Linked DNA regions of Mus musculus: regions 1, 2 and 4 are each reported to be linked to region 3. Evidence: microRNA targets listed by miRTarBase, many of them from high-throughput screens and not tested one by one. Region 3 holds a microRNA gene; each other region holds the end of a gene's coding sequence.
The links. The annotated mature microRNA mmu-miR-200b-3p reads UAAUACUGCCUGGUAAUGAUGA and lies in region 3 at 2,678-2,699, shown strand. An mRNA with a match to its seed (bases 2 to 7 or 8) in the 3' UTR can be bound and repressed. Matches are read on the target gene's strand: a 7mer-m8 pairs with bases 2 to 8, a 7mer-A1 pairs with bases 2 to 7 and ends in A, and an 8mer does both.

Region 1 (4,000 bases), not on the chromosome of region 3:
AGCAAATAGATGGTATTTCTTTCGGGCTTCTATTTCAAGCCCAAGTGTTGTTGATCCTGTGATAATGACTTAGCAAAACAACTTGCAAAGTGAGTATGGAAATGATCGAAGAAACTGCTGGCATCTGTTTCATACAGATTTTTACCACTCACAGCATCAGGAATGCAAAAAAGAAAAGAGAGAGAAAGAGCAAGCCCACCAGAATTGTGAATTGTACTGCTAAAACTCTAATATGTAAAATAACTGTTCTAATTGTCAACAGATTCTAAATAAACTAGAAAGAGAACGAGGGCTGGAAGAAGCTCAGAAACAACTCTTGCATGTAAAAGTCTTATTTGATGAAAAGAAGAAATGCAAGTGGATGTAAGCACCCTGGGGCCTGGCTTTATTTGACAAAGTTCTTCAGACAGCTTGGGAGCAAACTGGCTGCTTGAGCTACTCTTTGTCGTTAATTTCTTAAGTTTGCACATGGGTTCCACTTCGAGCACTGTCCTTTAGGAGACCAAGGCACATGCACAGCTTTTAGAAAGCGTTATCAACCACTGTGCCTGTGGGTATATCGTGGGAACCTTTCTGTAAATAGAGCTGAAGTGGTTGTTGCAAACAGCCTCCTTGTTTACAGAGAATACAGGGCCAGTAAGCAAGTGTCAGTATTGTAACTACAGTCTCCACTTAAGCACAATGATATCTAAGTGGTTTTGTTGGAAAACTACAGCTATGTAGTACTTGTGACTACACTGTACTTCTGCAGAAGAAAGGGGATACTAACAAAGCTCAGAGTGTGGAAGGAGTCCTTTGGAAACCCGGAGGGGGTGTTAGGGCAACCCTGAGGGTCTGCGGCATTCCTCCTCTTTCCCCAGTAGTTCTTGGAAAGGCTGAAGGCAGAATTTGGTAGTGTGTACACTTAGCATTCGTGAGTGTGTGTGTTTAAACCAAAAACTAACAGTGTTGCAACATTGTTGAAAGGGCTCGTGTTTTTCAGTGGTTGCCAGCCGGGCTCCTCAGCCCACCTCCATCTCATCAACGCAGCTCTAAAGCAAGGAGAGTGGGTGGGTCTCACTGAAATGCAACAGCAGTTTTCCCAGACTCTGTCCTACGGTGTGTCTCTTTTTTATCTTTTCATGTATCTGGTAGTGGACATGTTGGGTATTGTAAGAAAAAGAGTTCATGACTTTACTTCTGTTTGATCAGAACTGTCTGTGGATGTGTAAGTCACTCCTGTAATCTTACATTTCTATGCTAGTGTCTCCTTGCTTTAGATTTCTGGTGAACCCTGTGGTTATAAATACTTGTGTGTGATTAAAATAAAAGATACATTTTACATTTCATCAAATTGTTGTTCACATTGGAGTATTATATATAAATATATATATTTGAGGCCCAAGGCCTGGAAAATATTAGTACAACTTGGTATCTTAGTCTTACTATGTACTTTTTGAAAGTATTCCTTACAGGAGAAAGATTTAAAAATACTCATTTTATTCGTGCCTCTTTTTTTTTTTTTCAAAGAATTTCCTATCAAGTTATACTGTAGTCTTTTTTATTGCTGATTTTTTTATTCCCAAATTTTTGCTGCTCGTGACCAATTTTAATACCACTGTGCTTTCCTTCTATTAAACAGAAGTAAAAAGTGTCACCTGACGGCCCTCTCACTTACCTTGTGGCAGGCACCCCTACCCTTGGGGTTCCAAACCCCCAGTTTAGGAAGGACTTTTCTTTCAATCAGCCAATCAAACCTTGAGCACACATTCCTCAAAACCATTTACCAGCACTGCCTGGCCCATCTAGACTGCAATGTCCTGGTAAATGGCAGTCCTTTCTCTTCCTTACTATCTGACACCTCAACAGTGCAGTGGCTGCCCTGACAGACGCCCTCCCAATCTTGTTTCTTGTGACTACTGTCTGTCCAATGGACACATCTCAAAACTACTACCAAATAGTCTATTTCTAAGTAGAAAGGTGAGAGGTCTGGTCCCCATTTAAAGCTGCTACCGTCTTTAAAGAGGTGAAGGCATTCCTAAGAGAAAAGTTGGAGGAGACTTGAGAGCCAAGGGTAGGAGAATTGCCCAACAAACCTTCCCTTCTCTGGGGAACAGAAACGCAAAGGCTGAGCCACAGCTTTAGCTGTGTTACAAATGCTACACCAGGGGGTCCCTGTCCAGCTCTCTGACATGAGTCCTGTGTGAGCCTTACCGCCTCTTTCAGGAGTTAGGAACTTTGGGCAAGTCACTTACCTCTTTGTGCCTCAATTTCTGTATACTATTTCTAACCTACCTCACTGAGGTGGTGTGAAGATTCACTAATGTATGTAGTGTGTTTGTCAATCCTCCAGTGGAAAGCACTATCTAGATCACACTTTGGATCCCATTAGCCAAATGCACAGAATGTCCAAATTAGATGTGTGCTGAAGACAATCAGTCACTGGGCCTCTATTCAACAACTAAAGAAGCAAATGACAAACAGTATCTAGTTTCAAGTTTCTTTGCATATTTTTGGTGCAAAACAATTAATTTATAAACTTTTTTTTCTAACACTAGTGTCTAAAGCAGCACTTAAAAATTACTTCTGTTATCTTTTCTGTATTAGGATTTAAAGTCTATTTCTTACTGTATACCTGACTGAAGTTGTTCTTGGAGATGAATGTTTTAAATGTCTATATCCAAAAATAAACATTTTGATGTAACAAATGTGGACTGTTTGTCTTTTCTAGTTTTAATAGGTTTCTTAACCTAAATTACTTTCCAGGAACAAGATGTCACGGTACATTGCATATAAATAAGCAGCTCCGCTCAGTAAACCAAGCTCCTTGCTAAATGGCGCCAAGAGCTGCTCACTTATATTCCTGTCTTCAGTGAGCAACCTGACTTTTGGCTGCTGAGACGTCTATACAATGACAAATCCACATAAATTTAAGCTTCCGTTTGCTGACATGAAATTATTCCAGTGGAATCCCTCTAAAACATTACATAAAGAAGCTTCCAAAGATGCACAATGAAAACAGAAGGACATAAAACATCATTATTTGATCCTTACCTAACAGTGAGAAACCAAACTAAATGTCAGCGGTACTTCAATACCTCACTGCTTCAAGTAAGACCAACAACTCTTTACAGCCACAGGACTTCATTTTCTAAAACTCACCAAAGCCACAGAAGTGATGCCATCTCAACTGTTTAGTACATATTCTATGATCAGGAAAATTAAACACAAACAGCAGAGATACAAAAATATTTATTAAGTTATTCAATAAATTAAGTGCACAGCTTTTAGAAAAGGTAAAGATTTCTATAATAAACATGTTTAGAAACTTTTAAGTGGTTTTTATACTTATAAATGATTATCTTTTCCAAAACTTTTATATATAATAAAGGAGATGTTTATTGGTTTTGTCATTACCAAGGAGGCATCTCAAAGATGAGGAAAAGGGACTTCAGGGTGGATATATTTCAAGCAAAATGCCAGAAAATATCAACAAAACAGAAATTAATTTGAAAACTTGATTTTTTTAACTAACTAGTTCCTTTTATTTTTGCATTGTCAAAAGATTGTCAATGCATGTTCTAAATATATGAATACTTTCATTTTCTTAGTATAATCCTAAAATCTTGGAGCCCATGCAGTGCGCTGCTAGTACCTTTTCTTGAGGCAGCTCATGGATTTTGGCAAACAGGAAGAAGGCGTCTCAGTGCCACACGTTACCCGTCAGACTTTTATTGAGTCTCTGGCTTTGCCTGTCTTCAGGCTTCACTCCCCAGGAGACCCAAGCTCCTCCAGTTGTTTTCTTTGTGTAGTCTCCAGTTCTTCCAGTCTTTTGCGAAGGAGAGAGAGCTCTCTTTGATGTTGTTCCTCCTTAAAAATGACACATTAAGAGAAACCTAGAAAAACTAGGAACGTCCCTGCCTCTCTTCCATAAGCCTCCAAAGTGTGGCACAGAAATGACCCAGGTTAGCTATGTAAAAACTAGTTGCTCTTCTCTCCTGCCTCAGACTGCACTCTTAAG
Region 2 (4,000 bases), not on the chromosome of region 3:
TCAAAATTATATGTCAACATGTCTGTGTAGAACATTATACGTACATGTCTGCATCTGTGCACATCAGAGTGTGCAAGTGCTCAATGTGTTTTCTGAAGAAAGTCTCTATCATTTTCTAATATTTGTAAAGGAAGAAATCTGTGCCCTTCAATGGAGAAGAACCACTTCCTACGGCAGATGTTCTGGGCCTTCATAGACATCCCCTGCGCAGATGCCTCATCCTTGGTCAAAGTGTGTTCCAGAGGCGCGAGGTCATTGCCATCTATTTCCAGCTTAGCCATGAGGAGGCATCCAGCCTCATCCGGGGTCAGCACTGAGCTAAGTCACCTCGAAGTCATTGGCACTGGCAAGGTGCTCACAACACCAATTTGTCTCCCTAGAAACAGGGACGGTTAAGTGTCACCAAGAGCAAAAAGAATAATTATTTCATGACATCCAGCCCATTTTACATTTTCCGAAAATACTCTCCATCAAGAATGTAATGTGACACCCAAAACAGCACTGGCTAGAGATAAAATACGAAAATGAGATGGAAATACATGCTTATTGCCAAGATGTTGAATCTGCTTTTTCTTTCTGAGCATTCAAACCTGGATTTCATAGCTGATGCTTTGAATGAACAATAGCTATCAGAATCACTACCATATGTTTCTCGTGAGCTTAACAAAGCAGAGACAAGGTTTAATTGGCTCACTGAACTGTGTCTTTGAGAGACTTTAATTTTCCTATAAGAACAGTAAGTGCCAACAAGACAGACGTCCCTGTTCCTCTCAGATGTTTATAGTTCAGGGAAGTAAACAAGACATTATATTAAAAACATTCCCTGTATGCTGCAACATCTATTTTGAATTTGTACAAGTGTTGGGGTGGGGGAGAGAGGGGTGCTATAAAAAGCACCCTCAAATATGCCTGATACCTAAATCCTTGAAGCCTGATCCTGATTTTACTGTGGCTGAACACTCCACTGCTATAAAGAAGTATGGAACAGGATGGTATTTGTCAATGTGTTTAGTTTCTAATGGCTCCGAGATAGCATTTTGGAGGCATATGCATCTTGTAGACATTTGGAAGGAGTGCCATTTGTCAAGCTGGATGAAGAAGACATTAAATGGAATTCTGGTGTCTCCTAATATCCCCTAAGGGGGGGGCTATCACGCTAACTTGGGCAGGGCTTACAAGAGCTCAGCCGAAGTGTCATCTCCTCTGTGGCCAACTTAATTGCTCCCTTTTCTGTGAAGTGTCAGAGTTGCCTGGCTGTTATGGCTGCCTTCCTGGAGGGCCGAGATCCTGCTGGGCAGAGACTGTGTCTTATTTATCTTCGGATCTCCAGTAACTTGGGTGTTTTGTAACCAGCAAGAATTTGTGCCCCAACTGTAGGGATTCATTTAATGAGAGCTAAGTGTTAGATCAGAGTCCCACCCAGGTTCTGGACATGCTCTGCCGTGTGCTGCCAGTTCATTTTTCCTTACCCTGAGTCCCTAGGGATGCCCAGAAGAGCTGCACACTCTCAGCTGCTGTACAAGCCCCAGAAGGATGAGGGACCTCAGCCTAACATTTTGAGGGACCCTGGCTTGATAAAGAATATTAGGGAAAACAAAACAAAACAAAACAAAACAAAACTCAGTAGCCAAAATAATTCAGCTCAGACATTTCCTTGTCCAAACCCACTGTATGAACAATTTATCTTTTTTACCTCTGGCAGATCCTCTGCACTCATAGACCAGTTAGTGTGCATACGTGAATAAACCTGCCCAAGAAGGTGGAGTGATTTACCTGAGTGACGGAGCCTTCTTTTTCTTCAGGCCCCCCATCCCCTCAAAAGCAAACCAGAGGGGGTCCTTTTGCTCTGTTCCCACTGGCTCAGTACTCAGGAGTGGAATTGTCACATCATGTTGTGATTAGAGGTCTGTGGCTGTCTCATGTGGCAGTGAGCTCCAGAGAGTAGGGCTTGTGTCTTTGTTGGTCGGCTTTAATGTCCTCAATTAACAGAGATGAGATTAGCCTCTCAGCCGCATTAGCTTTTCCGGAAAGATCTGAGCAAATGTCTGTGTGCCTCAGAGAGGGCTTCTGAAGATGACAGACCAAAGAAACCACTCCACCCAAATCTGGACTGGTACAAGAATGAGTTTTACTAGGACTACTTGTGAGGACAATGGTGAGAAGTCACAGGGACACTTACAGGTGACAACTATACTGCCAGTCTCTCCCTCCGGCAACTGTCAATTGCGCATACACCCTCAGGAAGCAGAGGGGCTGTGTGCAACTTCTGTGTTGACTGTCCCTCCCCTAACATTCTCTTGAAGAAAAGAAACACAGCGGTAATTAGATGTAGTACAGTGGAGAGGACATCTTGGGGCAAGGGACAAAACTCAGAATGCAGACATGCTAAGCTTTGTGAGGATGCAAGGTGCACAGTGCAGGCAGTGAACAATAGTTTGCTCGGATTGGTTCTGGGTGGGGTGGGGTTATGGGTGTGTCAAGCAAGAACTGCAATGCCAGCGAACTTCTTGATGGGGAAAGCAGTTGGTAGACTTAGAAGCTGAGTGCCTTCAATCTCTTTAAAGGTGCTGCCAAAACGATAGCTCTTGCAAGTGTGCTCTAAGAGCAAAGGATGTTGTAAAGGCCTTTGGCATTGGAACAAGTGCTATGTGTTAAGGCAAGGAAGCCAAGTGTTAAAGAGCCTTACAGGGCAATCCTGCTCCAGCTGCAGAAGGGATGTGCGGGCGGGCTTAACTAAGAAACTGACGGCAGAGCAGAGCAAAGCTGACTGACTGCGGGGAGTACAAGGAGACTCTTGCTTCTCCTCATCTTATCTATTGTTAGGTTTTTGAAAGGACACAATGGACACGCACTTTATTTGCACTGAGAGAATTTAATAGAAGTTACACATTTTAAAATGTTGAAAGAAGCAGTCATGTACAGGTGATCCTCCTGCTTCAGTCTCTTAGATGGGATGACAAACACGTACACCTGTCTGGCTAACACTATGTGCAGTTAATGAAAGGCTGGACAACCCATGACGCCCCTCGGGAACTCACCGCCTTCAGCCATTCAGGCCTCAAGAGAAACACTGAGCCCTCTTGTCTCTGATCCAATGCCTTTAACAAATGGACAGAGACTCCTCATACAATTTGTTAAGATGAAGGTCTTCCGTTCTCTCCCTGGCCTCTGCAGGGAGCTTCGGTGTCTCATGCTTAATCTATACATCCTGCCTGAGTTATTTATCTCCGTCGTCACATGACTGCTATCAATCTTGCTCCACTCCCATATTTTTACACCCTCCGTCTATGCAACAGAAGAGTGGTGTGTGTGTGTGTATGTGTGTGTGTGTGTGTGTGTGTGTGTGTGATATAATACTCTCTCATTGAAAGAGGCACATTCTATATCACAATTTGCTTTTTTATTATCATCACCATTATGAAGAGCTAAATGCACAATCCAGTCTCCAGGCAACACAAGTGTAGCTGCCTTGTATGCAGGACACCTGCATTCGATGCTGTAGCATGATTTTTTGGGGGGTTGGGTAGGGTGGGTGTTGTGTTTTTTCTGGCCTCCTGTTAAAGGCCAGCCACAAAGTTCCAAACCATAGTTACAACAGCGCAGTCTTCAAGCAATTAAAGCCAATCGATGGTTGAGTGAGTGGTGGACGATCTCTTTCCGTAAACAGATCACTGAAAAGCCCAGAACAAAGCCACCTGCTGAGAAAAGTCCGGTTCAGCCAGTGTGACTTGGGAACCCACGCCCCACCACCCCCACAGCAAGTGGGGGGGGGGCGCGGGGGGGGGTCAGGTCACTCCAGCATGTGCTGGAGCAGGGAGGGATCAGCCTCCACTGCCTGGAGGCCCTTGTGTAAGCTTAGGAAGGTGGCCTGCTTCCCAAAACGCTGGCGCCAGCGGACAAAGGCCTCCACCACCTGCGAATGCACGTTGTGGGGATGGTTGGCCTTGCAGCGGTAGATGTCGGTCTGGGACAGTCCCAGAGACAGGACCACGGGCTCCCA
Region 3 (4,341 bases):
GTAGTTCAACTTTGTTTTGTTTTTCTGGTAACCTAGATAAAAATGTTGGAGCAATCGGTAGATTGTTGAATCAAGCAAAATGTTTTGCATTTATGAAAATGCAAATGAGCCATAAAATATGGATATAGTCCATTGTTAATTTTCAGGCATCTTGGTAATTTGCAAATACTTTATTTGCAAAATCAATTTGCCAGGATGTTCTTAGTGTGTAAAATGGCCTAAGGAAGTTCCCCGGTCGCAGGAGGCTGGCACTCAGGGGTGCAGTGGACCTGGAGGGTGAGCTATACAACCGAAGGGCTAAGGGACAATGCTGACGGCTGTGTGGATGAAATGGCGGCTTTGCCTTGAAGACACGCAGTTCCAACAGCCACTAAGAGGTAGCCTGAGTGTAGACAAGACAAGTCTTTCCTGCCCCCACCCTCCCCCTCCCACAGCCGCTGGCATCGAAGTTAGGAGAGGTTGACTTTCAGAGCTTTGTTCTCTGGCCTCAGCATTGATTAAGGCCCCTTGAGCAAGTTAACCAGCAACTTCCCACACTGGGAACGCGTTCCTCTGCCACAAATTCCCAACCTTCCCTGGCCTCGCAGGCGAGGATCAAGGCACTCTGGAAAGGGGGAGGGTGCTTGCTGCAGAGGAGCCTTGGGGGCACTTGGCTTCTGGATCCATTCCTTAATTTTCCTAAACTAAGCCTAGTAGATGCTGATAATTAGCTGTGGGGACCATGACCTGAACCTCACTTTCAGATACAACTGACCAGATGGGCACCACACAGGCTCCAAATAGAACCCCTGTTTTTGCTTTTCATTTCTTGACCTATGGCTGTAATTCTGTCATGTTTTTGTCTCTCCCTTCCCCCTATGCTGGATAAAGCAGGGTCCCCCATACTCAACAGTGCTTGGACACCAAGACACCCAGTCCCAACTCATGACTTTTAGAATCTGTTCAGCCTTTAAATTTTGCTGGAGGACCTACAGAATCTGCATTTTGAAGGTTGTACACACACACACACACACACACTGCTGTCTGAGCACCTGCCCCCATATATCTGACCTTTTGGCTTATGCCCGGGCCAGCTATGCACTTGGCAGAGTCCCCTAGCCTCCCATGTTCCCTAAGAAGTGCTCACCCTGAGTAGTCAAGGATGCAGGGATCAGGCTCATCATTAGATACCATTTCGTCTTCCCTGTTTCTTTGGCACAACCAGAAGGGGGAAAGGCAACATCCTTGGTGCTTACCCTCACCCAGCTCCCACACTCTTTGTGGCTCTGAAGCCACAAGGATAACTGAAATTCTGCTTAGTCCACTTAGTTCTCAAATAGAATCCTTAGTTTGCCAAAGCTCAGAGAGAGAGAGAGAGAGAGAGAGAGAGAGAGAGAGAGAGAAAGTCCTTTTGAAGCACCGGTTTTATGAATCTGATAGGATAGAACTAAAAAAGTTCGGGAAAGGGGAAGTATATCTGACGGGTGTTTGAGAGCACTGGGAACCTTGTAGGCGATAGACGAAGAGTTAGGACAGTTTCTAAAACCTTAGGCTCCTATAGAGTGTCCATTCCCATCTGCTCAGCCTGTGCTCAGGTCAGGTCCTCAGAAATGTTGGCTTTCAGGAGAGAGGCTGGAGAACTAGCGGCTGCCTGGAGGCAGTGACACACGCCTTCGTTGTGATCCGAGGAAATCAGTACAGGGCTTGAGCCACCTGTATTGTGTCTGTGATAGAAAAGACCAGAAAAACGAGAAGAAATACTTCTGTAAAGACGGACTTGGGATGAGGAGAGGCACAGATTGAGTCTCTTTCAGTCCCAAGTATCCTTGGGACAGGTGCTTAGTTTCTTGGCTCTGTATGGGAGACTACAGGCTATGTCCTTAGCAACAAAAAGATCTTTCTATGGGTATGTGATTATTGTATTCATACTGGGGGCTGCTTTTCCCATACGCTTGAAGTGTTGGATCCCTGGTCCCTCATCCCAGTATCCTTCTTGGGCCCTGAAAAAGGCAAGAGGGGCTGGGCAGGAAAGTAGACTTGAACAGTATCCTGGAGACAGAGGCCCACTGAGTGAACCTCATCAACCTTAAGTACACTGTGTACCCTAATGGGACTGGACCTGTTGTCTAGGCTATTCTGTAGTGAATATACTCAGATGGAGGGCCTGTCTATGACCTGATCCTGACCTGGCCATTGGTCACATGGAAGTCTACATAGCCTGCCTCCCAGCTCTTTCGGGCTGTCAGCCTCTGGGAAGGACTATTTGACCCTTCAAAGTCCTCACCTGGGCCCCAAGCTAGTCCACTGCAGGTCAGGTTTGGCTGGGCAGGGGAACTTGTCTATGGCCATGGGTGCTAAGTCCTTCCTCTGGGCCTTATAGAGAGGCAAGAAAGAGGCTTCAGGGCCTATAAGACCCCCATCCTAATTATTTTCCATCTAATTTCCAAAAGAGAACTTGATCTTACTTCAAGCTGTTGACCTCTCCACTACCTATCTTTGGAGATGAGAATGCAGGGCTTTCTGCTGTTGTCCTGAAGGGGTGCCCTCCTTCTGCAATGCTCTGGGGATTAGGACACTTAGGCATCTGGGCCCTGCCCATGGAATCTAGTCATCTTCAACTCCCTGCTAGGCGGCCTCCATATCCAACTTGGGCAGCCGTGGCCATCTTACTGGGCAGCATTGGATAGTGTCTGATCTCTAATACTGCCTGGTAATGATGACGGCGGAGCCCTGCATGCAGCAATGGAGCCGCCTCCTGATCCCAGCCTCCAGGGGCCCCAGTTCCACACCTCACCTACCTTATCCAAGGTAGGGCTATGGGGCAAAGAGTTAGCCTTGGCGATATGGGTGGTGGGAGGCTTTAGGGAGAGTTCCCCCAAACCAGGCACCTCTGAGGGCCACTCTATATCCTGGGGTGAGAGGCTCCTCCCATTGCCCTGGGGGCGCCCCCTCCCAATGCCCTGGGAATTAGGACAGTCAAGTGCCTGGGTTCTGCATACAATACCCAGGCAGGTGCTGCCACCACACCTGGCAGGTGTACGCTGGGTGGAAGTGCAGCAAAGGCTCTAAAGGGCTAAGTCTCCGCCTAGGCTCAGAGGGCCTCATGCCAAAAACTGCCTCACCTACATCTAGGAGCTGTGTACTGATTGACCCCCTAGTGGGGCTACTCAAGCCTGGGATACCTTACCTTCCTGCATCAAGTGAGCACCGACCTATTGACCAACAGCACCTCCAACATGCACACTGAGCCAATGTGTCACTGTCCCCTTGCTTTGGACAAAGCAGACCGTATGAGTTAGGGTCAACATCTCTGCTGGCTTATTGCGATGCATATACGGTCTCTGGCTGTTCATGGCATCAGGTTTCCACTGGGCCTCCCTGAGGGTGGAAACCACCTGTGTCTTCCTGCCAGAGCATACCTGGGCCTCTGTGGGCATCTTACCGGACAGTGCTGGATTTCTTGGCTTGACTCTAACACTGTCTGGTAACGATGTTCAAAGGTGACCCACCATTCGCCGAAGACAGGCTGATGATACACACTTGTCCTCCTGGACTCCAGTTAGGCCGAGGCTGGGTGCTGGGTGCAGAGGGCCTGTCTCAGCTCTACAGATCAGCAGTCAGTGGGGGCTGGACTTTGACCCTTGTCTATTACTTCATGCTGGGACAAGGGATGGTTTCACCATGCCAGGGGTACTGGAGTAGAAGTGGATTGTCACTCATTCTCAGAGCAGCGATGCCCACCTTTGCCAACTCCTCTGCTGGATTTGGGGGTTCATTGATTCCTAGAGAGACTGTGAGGGTTAGTGAGGATGCTGAGCTAGGTAAGGAGACATGGATAGCAGTGTTAGCATAAGGACTGTCAGTGCCTATGGGACCAATGGGCAAGGGTGGGTTCGGGGACCTGAGCCTGGTACACAGAATTGTGACGTCATCAGCTGTTTCCTAATTAAGAACAAGGAATCTCTATTCCTTCCCAATGGCTTTCCAGAATAGGAACTTTGCCCCAAACCAGAATCCAGGATTACTTCTTATCTTTCTTTACTTGGAGCCAGAGTACAGGGTCAGGGAGCCCCACCCAGTATCAGCCTAGATGACTCTTCCGGGGGAAGGAGTCTGTTCCTGGCTTTAATGTTACTCATTAAGCTGACAGCCATTCAGAAAACCAAAGAGGTGCTATGACGAGCATTTGCCAAGTAAGAGTGAGCAGATGACTCTCCTGTTGCACCCACAGACTTCCACACTTGAGGAACAGGCAACCAAGCTGGGCCCTGGTAAGAAAGTCCTTAGAGTAGTCCCAGGTCCTAGAAGGGTGAACCCCAAGAATGGCCCTTGGACCAGAGCAGGCAGGAAGCCAACCCTGGC
Region 4 (4,000 bases), not on the chromosome of region 3:
ATTGTAGAGCCCTGTGCATCTGGAATGTTCCTAAAGGCAGGTGAGGGCAATCTCATCCTCTAGTGTCTAGCACAGGCTTCCTGAGCTCTGGCTTTAGTGGGACATGGGCTGTAATCCAGCTTCTTGGGATTTAGCACTGTGAGCCGTGAGAGCTGGGCTCCCCAGCTTCCTGCAGGGTTCCAGTGCCAAGGAACCCACAGTAACCAAGACTTCAACAGAGTGCAGGATATTCCCTCCATGAAATACTATTTTCCTTTTGCTTCTCCAGTATGCAGGCAGGTTTGGGATTACTTTCTTAAGTTCCCCAATGCTTTTCAGTCCCCTCATGCTTTCATATATATACATATACACACACACACATACATGCATATATATATATATATATATATATATATATATTTATATATATATATATATTTGTGATTATTTTCCTACATAAAACTCCTGTTTAAAATAATTTATGACAGACTTTCCTGGTAAACAGCTTCAGATATGGATGTAGTTTTATTTTTCTTCAAGAGTCAGCCACCATATTTAAAAGAAATTTCTTGAAAACTATCTGGCACATTGCTCCTTTCCATCAACAATTTAATGAAATAAGGTTAACCTTCAAGCAACCACTCATATAGTCTTTGATTTTTTTTATTCACTTAGATATTCATGCACAAACTCTTTTCTGTTTCCATTATCCATTTACCAATCCATTCGCTGACACTTAGAATACATTCTTGAGGTCCAGGAGTGATGAAAGGGAAAATAGTAGACAGATGTTGAAATTAAAAGCATCATAGATGCTTTCCAGGACCTAGTTCTTTAATTTGTGTTTTAATTCACTCTTTGAGATTCATTTCTTCTTAACATAATTTTATGATGATCAAGCCCGAGTCATACACAGAAACTGCTGATACTAACTCATGAAATTAGACTCAGTTGAATGTAAAACCTGAGCATCTAGCTTTAATGCCAAACATTTAAAACTGATCTTACCAAAAGGAAACCTAATAAGGGTTTAGTATTAAAAGATGACATTGAAGACAAATGAGGAATTTGGAGGAGGCTGTCGCTTACTTCTTAAATCCCTAAGACTGAAAATACCTATTACTCAGATATTTCATTTGTTATGTAGAAAAGTAACCCAAGATGAGATTATTTCAGCTCTATGAAAACTGGAATCTAGAAATAATATCATCTAAAAAAAGTCTTTAAGTACTTTTGGCTTTTAATAAAAAAGATTAACATTGTTGTGGAGCAAGATTTGTCTACTGTTTATTGACATTACTGAGTTACAGAAACAAAGGCATGCTTTTTTTCTGAATGTGTGCTTGATGTGTGGTACTGTCAAGGGCTTTGTCCCTTCTATAACTTTATAGGAAAAATCACCTATGAAATAAACAGATCTTAGTTATTTTATCCTTTCAATTTCAATTAGAGAAATATTTCTCTTCATAGGTATAATGTGCTATACCTGTGTTTTGTAATTTTCATTTGTTTGCCTGTTGGGTGTGAAATCACTAAGCAAAGGGGAATTGGTCCTAATGTTAATGAATTTAACATACAAAAGTATTGGATTGCCTGCCAATGCCTCTGATGACCAACTGAATAATGTCCTAATAGTTATTGGAGTCTTCGGTGGCATAAGGCTGTAGGGGAGCTCTTCAGAGCTTACTTTCCTAAAGATATGCCCAGACAAGAATGGGGGAAATGCTTCTCTCTGGGGTTACTTGTGAAGTAGTGTAGAACACACAGCTGGGAGCCATGGATTCACCCATGACACAGAGAACCCGGAAGCTGTGAGTACTAGGTAAGAAGTGCTATTTCCACTGCTTTCTCCATCTGCCATTGATGCACACTAAGGATGTAACATCAGATGTTCCTTCTGATGCTTTTGAGCAATCATGTTGCAAAGTGCAGCATGGTGGTGAGTGTTACCACTAAGCAGTGTAGTCACACTTGCACGGGCAGTGGTTTCCAGAGGCATCACACACTCTGGAAATCTCCACAGCTGCTCAAGTTCTAGAGTGCAAGCTGAAGTAGGCTGACCTGACATCCCTGAAGTGTTTTCCCTTACAAAGGCTGCCTTCTTGTGAGTCACATGGAAGACACTTGGCACTATCATGAGCCTCTGCTTTGCTGTGTGGTGTGGATGCACAGACAGCTGAGAATAATTCCCAGGTTTCCGCTTCTTTCTTGTTAGCTTTTAAACTTTTGGCCCTTAAAAATTTGGAACCTCTGGTACGGCTGGAAAATGAAAAAGGATTCAATGTCCTTAACAGCCCCTACAATGGTTTACTTTTTGGGATTAATTGGAACGTTAACATATATGCTGAATATAATTTTTTAAACTGAGGTCTGATTGTAAGCATTAATTGAGTGGTCCGAATATCTGTGGTAAAAAGACGATGGTTTATAGTCACTGATTGCATTTAGACTGTTCTATGGAATTTAAATCCATTACAGAATACTAAAATCTGTCAAATGGGGACACCTCTAATCTCAGTTTGTTGTTGCTGTTGTTCTTATTGCTTCTGCTGCTGTTTCTAGTCACAGTAGTGTGGTGTGGTGTCCTAGGCTGATATGCCTTGAAAATAAGTGAGTAAGGCTGAATTAAATGAAACACTGGCTGTCACAGCCATTTTTGGGGGAAACTTGCCAACAGACATGAACAGGGAACTGATGATAAAGTGTTGCTATTTACTGTGTGACAATTAGAGCTAGATATTTTACCTGGTGCTCAGGGTGAAAAAAAAGCCCAGACCATCAAACGTCTCCAACAATTTGGAATTTTATTCCATCCATGTACATGCATAGTAACAACATTTGTTGAGAAATTATTTCTATCAGAAGTAGAACATTATCTTTGTGATCACCAGGTGCAGTATTGCTACTCTTATATTTAAATAGATCTTATATATGAATTAAATTCATACTTGCAGCATTGAGTTTAGGGGTTCGATTTAGACTGTGCCTTTCAAAAGATAAAACTGGTGAATACTACTCCATTACTGACAATACTGCTTCCAGTAATTTTGTTCATTCTTTATAAAGTATTGCATTTAACAGCAAAGGTTGAAAAATTGAGACAGGGCTGCATCGGCGAAAGAAAATACAAGTACTATACAAGAAAGAAATGCCATCTTCACTTAACATACATGTTTCTGTTTGAGAAAATGGACAGAAATATACGGCTACATACGAATGCAAAGCCTAGTGACTAAGAGACTGTATTTGCTAAAATATAAAGTGCAATTGGAGCCTGATTATCCAAGAATTGAAATCTTAAGGCGAACTTATAGCATGTGTATTTAGAACATGTTTGCAGGTTATATTTTAGCATATACGAATATCTGCAACAGCATATAAGAAAAAATCAGAATACACAAGTGCTTTTGAAGCTATTTCTAAAATGCTCTTCTGTATTGTTTGTGACTATTTTCTTTAAAAGCTACTATACAGTGCAAACCATATGTGCTACACAAGAACTATACAATCATTACAAATGACTTTAATATAAAGTTTTTAAATAAAAATAACATAACCACAGCTATGAATACTGCTGGTAAAATAAATTAATTTTTTTTTCTGAAAATGGCACCAATAATACACTTTACTAATGGTCTGTAATGAAATTACACCTTAAGTCTTCAATTCAGCCATAATGAATTATCTCCTGATTGCCAGATGTAATTCAAACAGCGTCTTTGTTTTCTGGACTGTTTAGAAGAACATACTAAACACGGGTACCAAAGGTGACTGCTTTCTTTAGTAACTCAGTTAGTTCATTTGACATGTTCTGCTGCATGTGATGAGCAATAAAACTTCTTGTGAGTTATAAAGTTCGAAAGATTATTGAACTGAATATCGCATAGCCGGCAGTATTTTCCACTGCTGGGAGCCTGGCTGGCGCCATTCACACCTTTTGCTATGCTAGACAACTGTTCTTCTGCGCAGGGAATTCCTGGGGAGACATTCTCATTTGCAGCTAATGGGTTCTCAGAGATCC

Region 1: miRTarBase lists Plxnc1 as a target of mmu-miR-200b-3p. Seed matches in the 3' UTR shown: 7mer-m8 at 649-655 and 7mer-A1 at 1,350-1,356.
Region 2: the mRNA of Cradd is a reported target of mmu-miR-200b-3p. Seed matches in the 3' UTR shown: 7mer-A1 at 3,352-3,358.
Region 4: miRTarBase lists Zfpm2 as a target of mmu-miR-200b-3p. Seed matches in the 3' UTR shown: 7mer-m8 at 3,547-3,553 and 7mer-m8 at 3,008-3,014.

What each region holds. Positions count from the first base shown.
Region 1 is chr10:94,789,553-94,793,552 of GRCm38, reverse strand. Plxnc1 (plexin C1) reads left to right here. Exons shown (of 31, transcript NM_018797.3): 31 at 263-2,687. The coding sequence ends at 367. It overlaps Cep83 (centrosomal protein 83), which reads right to left. Exons shown (of 16, transcript NM_029852.2): 16 at 3,217-3,849. The coding sequence ends at 3,745. Among named protein-coding and RNA genes, the nearest start is that of Cep83, 100 kb to the right of the region's middle.
Region 2 is chr10:95,171,887-95,175,886 of GRCm38, forward strand. It overlaps Cradd (CASP2 and RIPK1 domain containing adaptor with death domain), which reads right to left. Exons shown (of 3, transcript NM_001330138.1): 3 at 2,853-4,000. The coding sequence ends at 3,791. Among named protein-coding and RNA genes, the nearest start is that of Gm29684, 28 kb to the left of the region's middle.
Region 3 is chr4:156,054,043-156,058,383 of GRCm38, reverse strand. Mir200b (microRNA 200b) reads left to right here and starts at 2,634; the gene lies at 2,634-2,703. All of the region lies in intron 1 of Gm13648 (predicted gene 13648), which reads left to right. Mir200a (microRNA 200a) reads left to right here and starts at 3,399; the gene lies at 3,399-3,488.
Region 4 is chr15:41,103,353-41,107,352 of GRCm38, reverse strand. Zfpm2 (zinc finger protein, multitype 2) reads right to left here. Exons shown (of 8, transcript NM_011766.5): 8 at 2,761-4,000. The coding sequence ends at 3,777. Among named protein-coding and RNA genes, the nearest start is that of Gm46502, 69 kb to the left of the region's middle.